2 linked regions of the Drosophila melanogaster genome follow. The protein of the gene in region 2 purifies or fractionates together with the protein of the main gene of each other region. This does not show direct contact. Each region holds a gene or a part of one and is shown on either strand. Other genes may lie near its edges.

Evidence for each region. Proteins that work in one complex are often made in the same cells at the same time.
Region 1: the proteins of rtp (region 2) and ninaC purify together in Drosophila melanogaster (affinity purification with western blotting; one study listed by BioGRID). This does not show direct contact.

The regions. Positions count from the first base shown.
Region 1 is NT_033779.5:7,375,751-7,383,741, reverse strand, and holds the start of ninaC (neither inactivation nor afterpotential C), read right to left. Parts: upstream 6,041-7,991; 5' UTR 5,877-6,040; intron 5,358-5,876; 5' UTR 5,342-5,357; coding exon 5,054-5,341; intron 4,959-5,053; coding exon 4,095-4,958; intron 4,037-4,094; coding exon 3,099-4,036; intron 3,031-3,098; coding exon 2,738-3,030; intron 2,679-2,737; coding exon 2,407-2,678; intron 2,340-2,406; coding exon 2,053-2,339; intron 1,987-2,052; coding exon 1,837-1,986; intron 1,782-1,836; coding exon 1,684-1,781; intron 1,621-1,683; coding exon 1,567-1,620; coding exon of another isoform or gene 1,403-1,566; exon of another isoform or gene 985-1,402; coding exon 797-984; intron 732-796; coding exon 316-731; intron 264-315; coding exon 1-263. Other genes in the region: Wnt10 (Wnt oncogene analog 10), read right to left, coding at 6,483-6,670, 7,923-7,991. UniProt on the Drosophila melanogaster protein: Required for photoreceptor cell function. The ninaC proteins combines putative serine/threonine-protein kinase and myosin activities. Essential for the expression and stability of the rtp protein in the photoreceptors.
Region 2 is NT_033777.3:5,235,582-5,239,194, forward strand, and holds rtp (retinophilin), read right to left. Parts: upstream 1,735-3,613; 5' UTR 1,679-1,734; coding exon 1,651-1,678; intron 1,593-1,650; coding exon 1,292-1,592; intron 1,086-1,291; coding exon 818-1,085; 3' UTR 511-817; downstream 1-510. Other genes in the region: Mms19, read left to right, coding at 1-147, 262-453; CtsF (cathepsin F), read right to left, coding at 2,310-2,575, 2,632-2,813, 2,873-3,613. UniProt on the Drosophila melanogaster protein: Plays a role in promoting axonal degeneration following neuronal injury by toxic insult or trauma.

The sequences.
Region 1 (7,991 bases), on a different chromosome or scaffold from region 2:
GAGCCATGTTCTGAAGTTCTCTAACTGGATCCGACGGAGGATACGAGGATCTTTGCTGATAGTTGCGTTGCTGCTGGTTCGGATTATTGCGATAATAGTTGGATGAGGGCATTGGTGGAGGAGGAGGTGGAGGCGCCGCATAGCCCTTCAAGGAGTTGCGCCTGGATCCGGATCGATGTACGCCCCAGTTCTGGTTGTTATAGTTGCTGTTATAGCTGTTGTAGGCATTGTTATAGGCATTCATGTTCATCTGCATTTGATTTCTGAAAAAAAGTGTTAGAAACTTAAGTTCAACCTTTGAGTATCTTTGCTAACCTCCTCAGCTGTTGGGGATCTCGGAAGTAGCCCTGATTGTAGATATTGTCGCTCTCGCCCATGCGATCCCAGTTGGTCTGGCAAGCCTGCTCCTTCTTATAGGCATTGTAGGTCAGGGCACAAGAAGTCATCGAAGGATTGCGTTGCAGAGGGCTGTCCCAAGGCTCATCGTCCTCCATGTGCTGCGTTAGTAGCTGATTGGGGAAGGCTTGGCGGGAAATGGAATTGGCCGGGTCCACCATATACTGGGTGTCATAGAAGGGTATCTGATCCAGGCGGAATGGCATCTTTTTTATGGGCACTGGCAGTGGTCCTAGCTGCGAGGAGTTCACTTCGCGCATATTGATCCTCTCGAAGGGCACAGCCCGAGTACATTTATTCAAGCCAGCCACCATTCGTTGGTTGTAGATGTGGACCTGGTACATAATATAATATATATATATATATATATTGGATTTGAAGATAAGAGATTTGAACTCACCTGCTGTGAGAGATTGACAAAGTCCTGGAAGCGAGCCGCGCGGTAGTGCAGGAGGACCTGGAAGATAGACTTCTCGCGCCATTTCTTGGCAAACGGACGGATAAAGTCGGCGGTGTTCTCGTTTAGTTGGCCGGACTTCTCGTTGACCAGCGGAGGGAGGCGGACGCGGTCGCGGAATCCCCTGAAGGCTGTGGGAAAATGGAAACGGAGGAAGGCCGTTAGAGTAACCCATTTGAAAAGCGGTCGCGGCGGTGGACGGTGGTGGTGAATGAGAGGGAAGTCACCTTAATTTAATTAAATTTTCATTTCTTTTCTACGCAGCACTTATAATTCATCTCTTTTCGCAGGGGCCGTCGATGTTAAGTGTTATGTCTCAGACAGCTATAAGCCGATTGGTTGCATCAGATGGAGAACACAACCGCCCAGCGGGATGGGGTGGGATGGTATCCACATTGGACACCACTAAGCGGCTTAAGTGGTTTGCCGAGGCCCTAGACTAGATGATAGCTGGTTGTTTGCGTTTTCTACATTTTATTGGTAGTCGTATTACGATTAGTATCGATCGATATAGTGATATAGTGTGTATAAATGGTATATAGTAGGGGCCTATTCCTCGGCGGAGGCCTGCTCGATTTTGGCTATTCGCACCGCTGCCAGAGCCTCATCCATTCTGGCCTCGAGGAACATCTCCTCCGCCTCCGAGGGCGTCTCGCTTATGTCGATGTGCTCCTCGTCGTACTCTCTTAGCCTATCCACCTGCGTTTTTTTACCTTTTTGTATTTTGGACGCGGCCACATCATGATGCTCCGGTCCCTTTTTGCCCACTAATAGGGAATTTAAAATTAGATTTCATACCATATACTGTATAAGTATTATTTATATCTTACATTTGAAAACTTTGCCGCCCTTAACTCGTTTCCGTGCTAGCAAAGCTCGCATCATGGACTGCACTTTGATGACCTTCTTCACCTGCAGCTCATACAATCTGAAAGCAATTGATAGTACTTGCTTTTCTCAATGCGTATGAATTGATAGCTCACCTGGCTAAGAACTCATCGTTATAGTAGCGCAAAAACACCTTGGTCTTGCCCAAGGCCCAGCCTTCCATCTTGAGGCGCAAGAATAATAGACGACAGTTATCCTTGGTCATTTCCACGGGCTCATCAAAGTCAAAGGCAAGGAATTGGTATCTAATACGAATATTTTAAATATTTAGAAATCTTTAAATGGAAACTGGAATGGAATCGATTACCCACCGCCTTAGGAACTCGTCGAATGGCAGACGCGAGCTGAATCCCTTCTGGCGAGCAATAACAGTGTCCAGAACTCCCAAGGCCTTCATCTGTTGCTGGACGACATCCGAGTGGAAGGATCTGGGCTTGTACTCCAGATCAGCGCGAATGCAGCGAACGAAGTGCACGCCGAGATTTGCATTCTGGCTTAGCATTTTGAGCAGGGTCAGGCAGGTGAAGCGGAAGTTGGCCGCCAGGGTACGTAGATTGTTCACTTGGGAGATGCATCCGGCACTTAGGGTATTCAAGGCCTGAAATGCATAGTTTACAAAAATATACCAAATTTAGGTTAGCTAATAAAAACTGTGACAGACTTACATATGACTTCCGTTCAGATTCATCCTTATGCTGCACTGCCTCGAATGGCATGGTGAGATTGCCAGCCTTGGTCAGTTGATTGGTGAACATGAGCATGATGCTCTCATCCAGCGAGGAGCGGAAGGTCTCGATCATTTCCGGCGGCACAAAGTCCCGGTTGATGTCGGTGAAGGCGCGCGTATCATAGATGATGCGGCCCGTGTAATGAGCCACGGATATTTCAGTGGCAGTGTGCTTCTTCACAAACTGGCTGTGCTTCTCCGAAACGCGATCTGTAGATGGAAAGTGGTTAAATCACATATCCAAAGTGGTGCCAGAATTGGTTGTATACCCATAATCAAATCCTGATCTTGACAGGAGCGTGAGGCATCGTCAATGATGTAGAACAGGCCATCCGGTTTGGTTAGCAGATTATCCAGAGCTGTCTTGTTGTCATAGAAATTCAAGTTGATGGTGTCAATGTCTTCAGCTTCCATTTCCAGCATTTCGCTGATAAAAATACGTTGATTGTAGTGATATTGCATTTGCTCGTTTAGAGTATTGATCATTAGTTGCTCCAGACCATTTCGATTAAAGCACTCAAATCCAAACATGTCGTGAATAATGATGGCATTTGTGTCTCCGCTTAAAAAGTTATTTAAGCCACATTGTTAAACTTATGAATTTGTAACTTTTTTTTTAATATTACTTACAACACAGCCCGTGGGAAGGACATGTTCATGTTAATCCTGTTGATGATAAAGTCCACCAATCGAGAGTAGAGCGTGCTGGCCACCGCATCGCGTGCATCCCTAGCTTCTTCAGTGGTGTACTGTCGCCTCTCGGCGATCCCGCCCTTGACCATAATGAAGTTGGTCAGAGACCACATGAACTTTTTCTCATCCACACGGAGGAGCTCGGCGATCCGGGACACAATGTCCGTGTTCTCCACTTCCGCATACTTTCCGTTCTGCCGGAAACGGATGTTGCCAATGTTCAAAATGGCAGCCAAAACTTTGCGAACGGTCTCCAATTGCTTGTGATTGAAATCAATGTCCCGCAGGATGTTCTCGAACTCCCTGTACCTCTCCACATTGCCCTCGGGATCATCACGACGATACTTGAGTTTCGATGGCGGAACCTCTGGCGGAACTCGCAGATAACGATAATTGCGATCAGCCTTCAGATTGTACTCCTTAAGCTGATTTTGCTGATTAATAAAGTCGTAGAAGTAGTAGAAGATGTGGAAGTTGTGCTGGGTTCCGTCCGTAGTGGCCACTCGTAGTTTCTCCAGCATATACATATTAAAAACGGCCCCACTCATTTTGCCGGTTTTTCCAAAGGTCAAGCAATATTGTAGGACACATCTTGTGGAGTCGTTGTTTACCGGAGTTCCTGCATTCACCAACATCAGGATGGCCTTGATGGAGCTCTCCACGCGCCCGGTGGCCCCACGATTTCCATCACCCAAGTAGCACAGATGCTTGATTAGCAGCCGGGCATTTGTGGACTTGCCCGAGTAGCTCTCTCCGGAGAGCACGATGTGTTGCGGCTCCTTATGATGCAGCATATCCTGGTAGGCGATATCGGCCACCGAGAAAATATGCGGCTGGTTTTCCGAACGCGACTTGAAGCGATACTTGGCATGGAACTAGAGAAAGGATAAATATAACATATTTAAGTATACATATTAGATGTTTTCAACTTACCTCCTGCGGAAATTCCTGCTTGATTTCATTGGAATTCAAGGATAAAAGGATATCGCCAATGAAACTGTACGATTCCCCCATCAAAATGCGATGACGCAGTGACTCGATTATGTTTTCATCCACGGGATTTTCCAAGGCAGCCAAGTCCTCCGGATACATCTTTTCCGGCTTCTCATCGAACCTCTTCACATAGCCGCGGTCCACGAACAATTCCGGCTCCTTGTACAAAGTCTTTACATCCCTAGAGAGTTCCAACATTTCTGCGATGTCCGATCGCATCTCGTCCTCGTTTTCGATGAGCTCCGTGAGGAATGGATGCTCCACCATCTCAACCATCATGGGCCGATTTTCGGCATTTTTCTCCAAACTCTCGGATATAAAATCATTGATCTGCTGCGACCAATTAGTGGGTCGCATTAAGGTCGGCGGTGGATTGCGAATGATCTGGAACATGGCCCTAGTGGGATGCATGTCAGCGAACGGTGGCTTTCCATCGGCCAACTCAATGGTAGTGATTCCCAAGGCCCAGACATCGGCACGAACGGTGATGTCCGGTTCGCGGGATTCCATGGCGGACACCACTTCGGGAGCCATCCAGCAGGGAGATCCAATGCAGGTGCCCCTCTTGCCCAGAGTGGAATCCACCTGACGGGATAAACCGAAATCGCACAGCTTGACCCGTCCATTTTTGGTCAACAATATGTTATCTCCCCGAATGTCCCGATGCAGGACATGATTACGGTTCAGCTCGATGGCAGCACGGCAAGTCTCCCGGATAATGTAGGCGATGTGCTCCTCTCGCATTCGACGATCCAGTTTCAAAAGCTTGTTAACCATGTCCACTGCTGTTCCCCCAGCGCAGTACTGAAATATTCAAATGGTTTATATAAATTACAAAAAATTGGATTTAAATTTTTGGAAAAAATTTAATAAAATATTAACAAAATGTTTTGACTCACCTCCATGACAAACCAGATCTCATCAGGTCCGTTTGGCTTCGACAGCTTGTAGACGCCATAGAACTCGGGAAGATTGGGATGGTCGCAGTAGTCCCGCAGAGTGCGATACTCCTCCTCGATGGAAACCTGGTGCTCCTCATCGTAGTGCTGAATCTTCAGGGCAACGATCCGATCATTGTCGAGCTCCTTGGCCCGAAAAACCTTGGCATTGACGCCTTGGGCTATCTCCTCGTAGATCTCGAATTTATCCGTAGGATCCGGCAATTGCGCGTACGGTAAATACATCATGACTTAGATGCTTATTCTGAATATTCGAAGAACATGTGGGTTAAACTTGGGAATTGGGTCTATCATAAAATGGGCTTCAAAGGTTTTCTTTTTCAATTTTCCCTCATGCAAATCGCATTATATTTGGGTTCATTGTTGCAAAACACTTAAGAATGGGCATTCTAGAGGTTTCATTGTAATCTTTTGCTTCTAATAACAATTTGCTTTTTCTTTAAAGGTGAAAGTTAAGTTACTTTGGTTTACTTAACGTAAGGATATTTTGGAATGTTTGCTTTGCAAGCACGAAAGATTTCAAGGACCTTTAAACAAATAAGATGCAATTTTGAAATGTAAAATTATAATAAAACCATTTTCTATAAAACACTTAAATAATTCATGTGAAAACGAAAAAGTTAAATGTACGATTTATCCTTGGTAATTAATCCTTCCTAGGTTTGTATTTTGAATCAGCAACTTTGGATAAAGGGATTCTAGGGGGTTATTTGTATTATATCCACTTCACAGGGCTTCAAACACTTAATCCTTCAGGACACACCTTCGCTGCCGCAGATTGGCACACTTATCCTGCAGCTGTGTATTTTTGGTTGCAAGGATGTACTTGTGTGGAACTTCGAACCGACCGCACGCATGCAGCACGTACCGCTGCCGTTAGCCAACTAAATGATGGGCCAATGCAATCGGAGGCTTTTCACTGGCAAGGAAGGAAGCCATTCAATGGGCAGTACCTGGGTGCACACCTTGGACAACTATTTAGCTGGCTAATTCAATTAGCGGCGGCGACATTCACGTGCAAGTGAAAAAAGCGGCGACACAGATGGCCAAAATGCCGAGGTGAAAGGGAAATTGGCAATGCGAGTGAAAGTCAGCTGATTGACAGACTAATTATGCATCTTATTGTTCGTATTTACAAAATATATTTATACGTATTCCAAATGGCTGGAGATTGCTAAACTAGGCATTGCATTCACACACGTTGTTTATTGATGTTTGCCCTATTGCGTACTTTATGTTTTTTTTTCTGTAATACTGATTTCTTTGTGTGTTAAGTTCTGTGAGAATGAAGAAAAGTCTTTTCTTATGCATGTGGCTGAGGCTCCATCGCTCCATCACTTCATCGTCCTTCGTCTTGCGTCCATTGTCCTTAATTGCATATGCTAATCCATTCCTCTACGTGGCACTCCTCGCACTCCACATTACAGCACCATTGGAATTTACAGTGACACCGCTCCGCCCTCCGCTGGATGACCTGGCTGTGGCCACGGCCACAGCAGAGGGAGGTGCATCCGTCGCTGGTCGTGGTGTTCCGATTGCACTTGCGTCCCACGGTGCCTGTGCGGAAATTGGCTCAGATTAGTCATGTTTATGTTTTTCTAAAGATATAATCATCAGAAAAGAAAATTATGTGGTATCTATTAAAATATAAAAATAACAAGTTAATAAAATTAGTGGTGTAAGATTTGCGTAATTAGCAAATGATTAAGTGTTCTCATCAAATGCAATCCATCGCCAAATGGCAGTTAATCCCGCCTACTGGCGGACAAGCAATTAAAAGACCATAAATAAACTATTAAACTAAAGCACAAACAAAGTATCATAATTGTTTGGCCGACGATAATTGCCAGCGTTAATTGCTATCATTTGAATAGACACGACACCGGACACGGACACATGAATCAAAACGCCCGATGGGCTGGCTGCTCCCCAGTTCACTGCTGTTGGAGCCTGAGTTGGAGCTTGAAGTGAAGCTGGAGTTACCGGGCTAAGCCGACGATTAATTATAAATTTGCGTCGTAATTAACACTTTTAAACTGCTGGCAGTTGGCGGGGCAGCAGCGACGCTTGATAATTTGCAAATGTGTCAACAGCAAAATGGCTAACGAAAATTGCAAGTGGCAGTTAGACGTCGATTTCGATGTGAACGTGCCGCAGTTTCGACCGATCCCCCAAGCCAGAGTACAAGCAAGGGGGGAGAAATGAGGGGATACAATTAACCCAAACTCATTTCCAAGCATAAAAAGTAACGATTTTCTTTTAGTATGTTTCGGCCAATTGTAGTTTAGATAACATATCAAAAACCTTTATTTTAAGAATGTCAAATAAGAACCCCCCTCAGATTTTCAGTCTCCGCCACTGCTTTATACAATCCAAACTGAGTTGAGCTGATCCGAACCAATCCAATCCGATCCGATCCAAACTGAGCTAAGCTAAGCTGAGCTGCTGTGCGCATGCGTCGCTGTCGCATTTTTTTCGTAAATTATGTGGCAGGTTTGGTAGCCCGTTTAAAACACAAACCAAAAAAAAAAAAAAGAAAAATACATTTTTGCTGCATTTGCGGTTGCTGGCGTTGTTCATTTGCATTTGAGATTTATTTATTAGAGCCAAATCAAATTTATCGCTCGCTTCGTATCGGTAAATCATTTTTAATTAGTTGCAACGCATTTTCTAACGACAAAATTGTAAATTAACTTATTAAGTAATGGTTATGTGGGTAGGACGTTAAACTGATAAGATGTTTAAGCTGAATATTGAGTGAGTATAATAATTGGAAAATGAAAATGTTATAGTACGAACATTAACTCACCCTGTATATCAGCTCCCAGATCGCGCTCACAAAAGTTGGGCGAGCGCTGATAGTAGAACAGCGATGTCT
Region 2 (3,613 bases):
GAGCACAACGAGGCGCAGTCGCTGTGCATTGCATTGGGCATCTGTGAAAAGTTTGTGGCGCAGCAGGACACGTATTTCCAAGGGCATTTGGCCCACCTCATACCCAGCTGTCTGGAGCTGTCGAAATACAAGGCTCAGCATACCATGGTAAGTTAAACATGCACATATTATTATAAAGATTTGATAGTTAATTGAGGAGGTTTCTTAACTTGTAAAGGAAAATGTCGAACACAAAACTTAAACTCATTTTCTTTCTTATAGCAAGTGCGAATTGCGGCGCTGCAGCTGCTCTACGATGTGACAAAGTATCCTACCTTCGTCCTGTTGCCCCACAAAGTCGATGTTACTCTGGCCCTGGCCGCCGCCTTGGATGATCCCAAGCGTCTGGTGCGGAACACAGCGGTGAAGGCCAGGAATGCGTGGTACCTGGTCGGTGCGCCTAGTCCGAATTAGCAGAGAAACAACTCCGTTCTTGTTAATATTATAATCCAATAAGCACACGCACAAATTCTTCATAATTTTCTTGTTGTTTTTATTAGGGTGCGTTGAAGAATTTTTGATAAAGAATTTGGAAAAAGCAAAATTATAAAGTAAACGCGAAATTGTATGCATTTTATATTACTTAGATACATTTACGAACGTTTATGCGCAAATGTATTAAAGTTTAAGATGTTAAGAAAGAAATGCTTATTTCTTTTCTTAAAGGCACCTTTTTCTGTTTTATGACTTGAGACTCTTACAGTCGGTTACTAAAATTTGTATTTTTAAACTGTACGTGTTTATCAATACCAACTGGTAACCAATCTGAAGTGTCTGTTCAGTATGGGTGTTCGCACTGGGAACGGGCCATAAGAGCGCACTTTTGTGCACGCTGCACCACCTCGGGACATCGACGTCGTCTCATAAAGCGGCAGTCTTGAAAGAATCCCTCGTTTCTGGGAAAGCCGTGCGTGAAGTCCTGGAACGTCAGCAATCCCAGGCCCCAGATCTTGCCGCCTCGAAACTCGCCCTCGTACTTCATTCCATCGGCTCTCCAGAAGATCCCATTACCATGAAACCAGCCCTGATGAAACTCGCCTTCGTATCTGTCTTAAAAATGTGCAAAATGAATCATCATATACAATTTTCTTCACTGGATGCAAACCCTAGGTAAATTATAGCTAAACCATTTCTGATCAAGAATATATATACTAGCATTTCCTCTTACTCCCCGAGTAGTGGCTACAAGAATAGTTTTCAAGTGCTACAATATTTCGTTTAGGTTTACATCACTAATATTATTGAAACTGACTTTGCTCCATCCGCGAACCAGAGGCAGCCCACTCCTTGACTAAGACCCTCCTGGAACTGCCCATCGTAGCGGGTGCCATCGGCGAACTGCAGATGCCCGATGCCGTGCTTTTGGCCACGCTGGTTCCACTCGCCGATGTAGCGACTGGCGTCCTCGTATCGCCATCCGCCCACTTTGACCGCCCCTGCGCTGTACTGGCTTTGACCCTGGCCCTGTTGGTGGTGTCCATGCTGACCCTGCTGGTGGGGGTGCTGTTGGTGCTGGTTCTCGATTCGGGCCGTGGTCACGCCCACGCTGCTCACTGGGTAATGATTTTTACGCAATTTTGTATCTGCATCCTTTTGTCTGTGTTCACTTACTGTCATCATCGTAGTCGTCCATGGCCATTGCTCCGCTACCGCCCGCGATGCGCTTCAAGCTGCTACTGAGCTGGCTGGTTCTGCACCAGAAACACTCATTTTCTATGGCTTCCCACGGTGCGACGGCCCTGGTCTAAATCTAATTAACATATTGCACTTCTACACACTGACAAAGTGTTTGAAAATCAATCATCAAAATCACTGGGTCAAATGTTCCAGTAATTGAAGCAGTTATAAATATTTCTTAACAGCCAATAATACTCTGGCACCCATATTTAATCAAACCATTTTAATCGAATAATTTGAATACATCTCACATAAATTCAACATTTTTCTTGATCCAACCAACCATCAATCTTGACCAACTGTTGCTGCGGCCAGAGCTGTCATGGATTCAATAATAAACCCAACCAGGTTTTAATTCTTGTACAATTTATTGTTATTTTCAATTAAAGCGGAATATGTGGATGCAGACTTTTTCGTGAGATTACAGATGTCTGAAATGATTATACTATATAGGCGAAGCTTTGAAACTCAACGACTCCTTATCGTGACGGTTGAAGAACATGGAAACAGAATTAATTGTACACAAAGTTACTGGCTAAATTATTAACCTAGATATAGTCGTATGCTTGTATATAATTGGACTCAAAGCAAGTCTAGGCCAGCACAGCCGAAGTGGCCATTTCGCTGACGCCGCAAGTGTTGTCACCACGATAAACGCGATAATAGCCCTGCTCTCCCCAGCGCGGACCCCACGAGTTCTTCACAATCCAGTAGGGCAAGGTCTTGTGGAAATTGGGATAGTCGGAGACGCCATACCCCACAACTAGAACACCGTGGTCGAGGTTTTTCTTGGAGCACAGGGCCTTCCACGGATGGGAAACTCCGCCGCGATAGAACTGCATAGCATTCGCATTGATGCCTAGAGAAATGATCTGGTTAAGTGGGCTTTGGGGTTAATTTTCTGCATCGACTTACCGATCGAAATGGGACCATTGGCGAGAAGCCACTCCTGCATGGCGGTCTCATTTCCCTTCGGCAGATCCACGAAGCCGGCAACCTGAACGTGGGACAAAGTCCTGTTGAAGTGGCACTGATTCTTTTTGGCCTTGTATGGGTACTCAGCCTCGTACTCTAGGCCGCCAATATCCTTAATGGCCCTGCGGAGGAATTATTACATAAGTATCTACATCGTAATGTTCATTCCCTCGTAACTTACTTGTAAGCATTGTCCATGAGGCCGCCGTTGCAGGCACTATCCGTGGTATCACAGTCCAGCAGCTCCTGTTCGGAGAACTCTTTCAATTCGCCCGTTTTCACTGCGTACAGGCCTTCGATGTTGCCGGTCACACTGAAGGCCCAGCATGAACCGCAGGATCCCTGATTCTTCACCTGGGTGACAGCATCCTTCTGCCTCCAGTCAAACTCCTTCGGCAGTTCACCATGGTAAGCCGGTACGACAGCCGCCGATCCGCCAGTGGCCTTTGCCTCATCACGCTGCCAGAGTCCCGTGCGTTCCTTGTATTCCGAGCTGGTCATATCAGCAAACTCCGTGATGCCGTACTTGGCGCTGCCCATCTCGTTGGCGTTTAGCTCCTCGATAGTCTTCAGGTTCTGACGGAAAATGCGCAGGCGCATCTGGCGCTCGGCGGTGCTTACGTAGCGACGGCCAAATCGCACCTGGAACTTGTAGAAGAGGTGGTCCACCTTGTCAAAGCGATGGCTGTGCTTCTTGTGCGTCTTCTTCTCGGCCCACTCCACGGATCGCGTGTGTCGGGCCTGGACCACCGGCTGGTTGCGGCACTTAAAGGTGATTTCGTGCTCATCCTTCCTCACCCAGACCTTTGTCCAGATATCCACGATACAGCGGTGCTGCTCCTCCGACCCGTCGATTAGATCCGCATCGATGCGGGTCAAGATGCCTGAATCCACTTGCCGCGAGGCTGAGTATACTTTCACA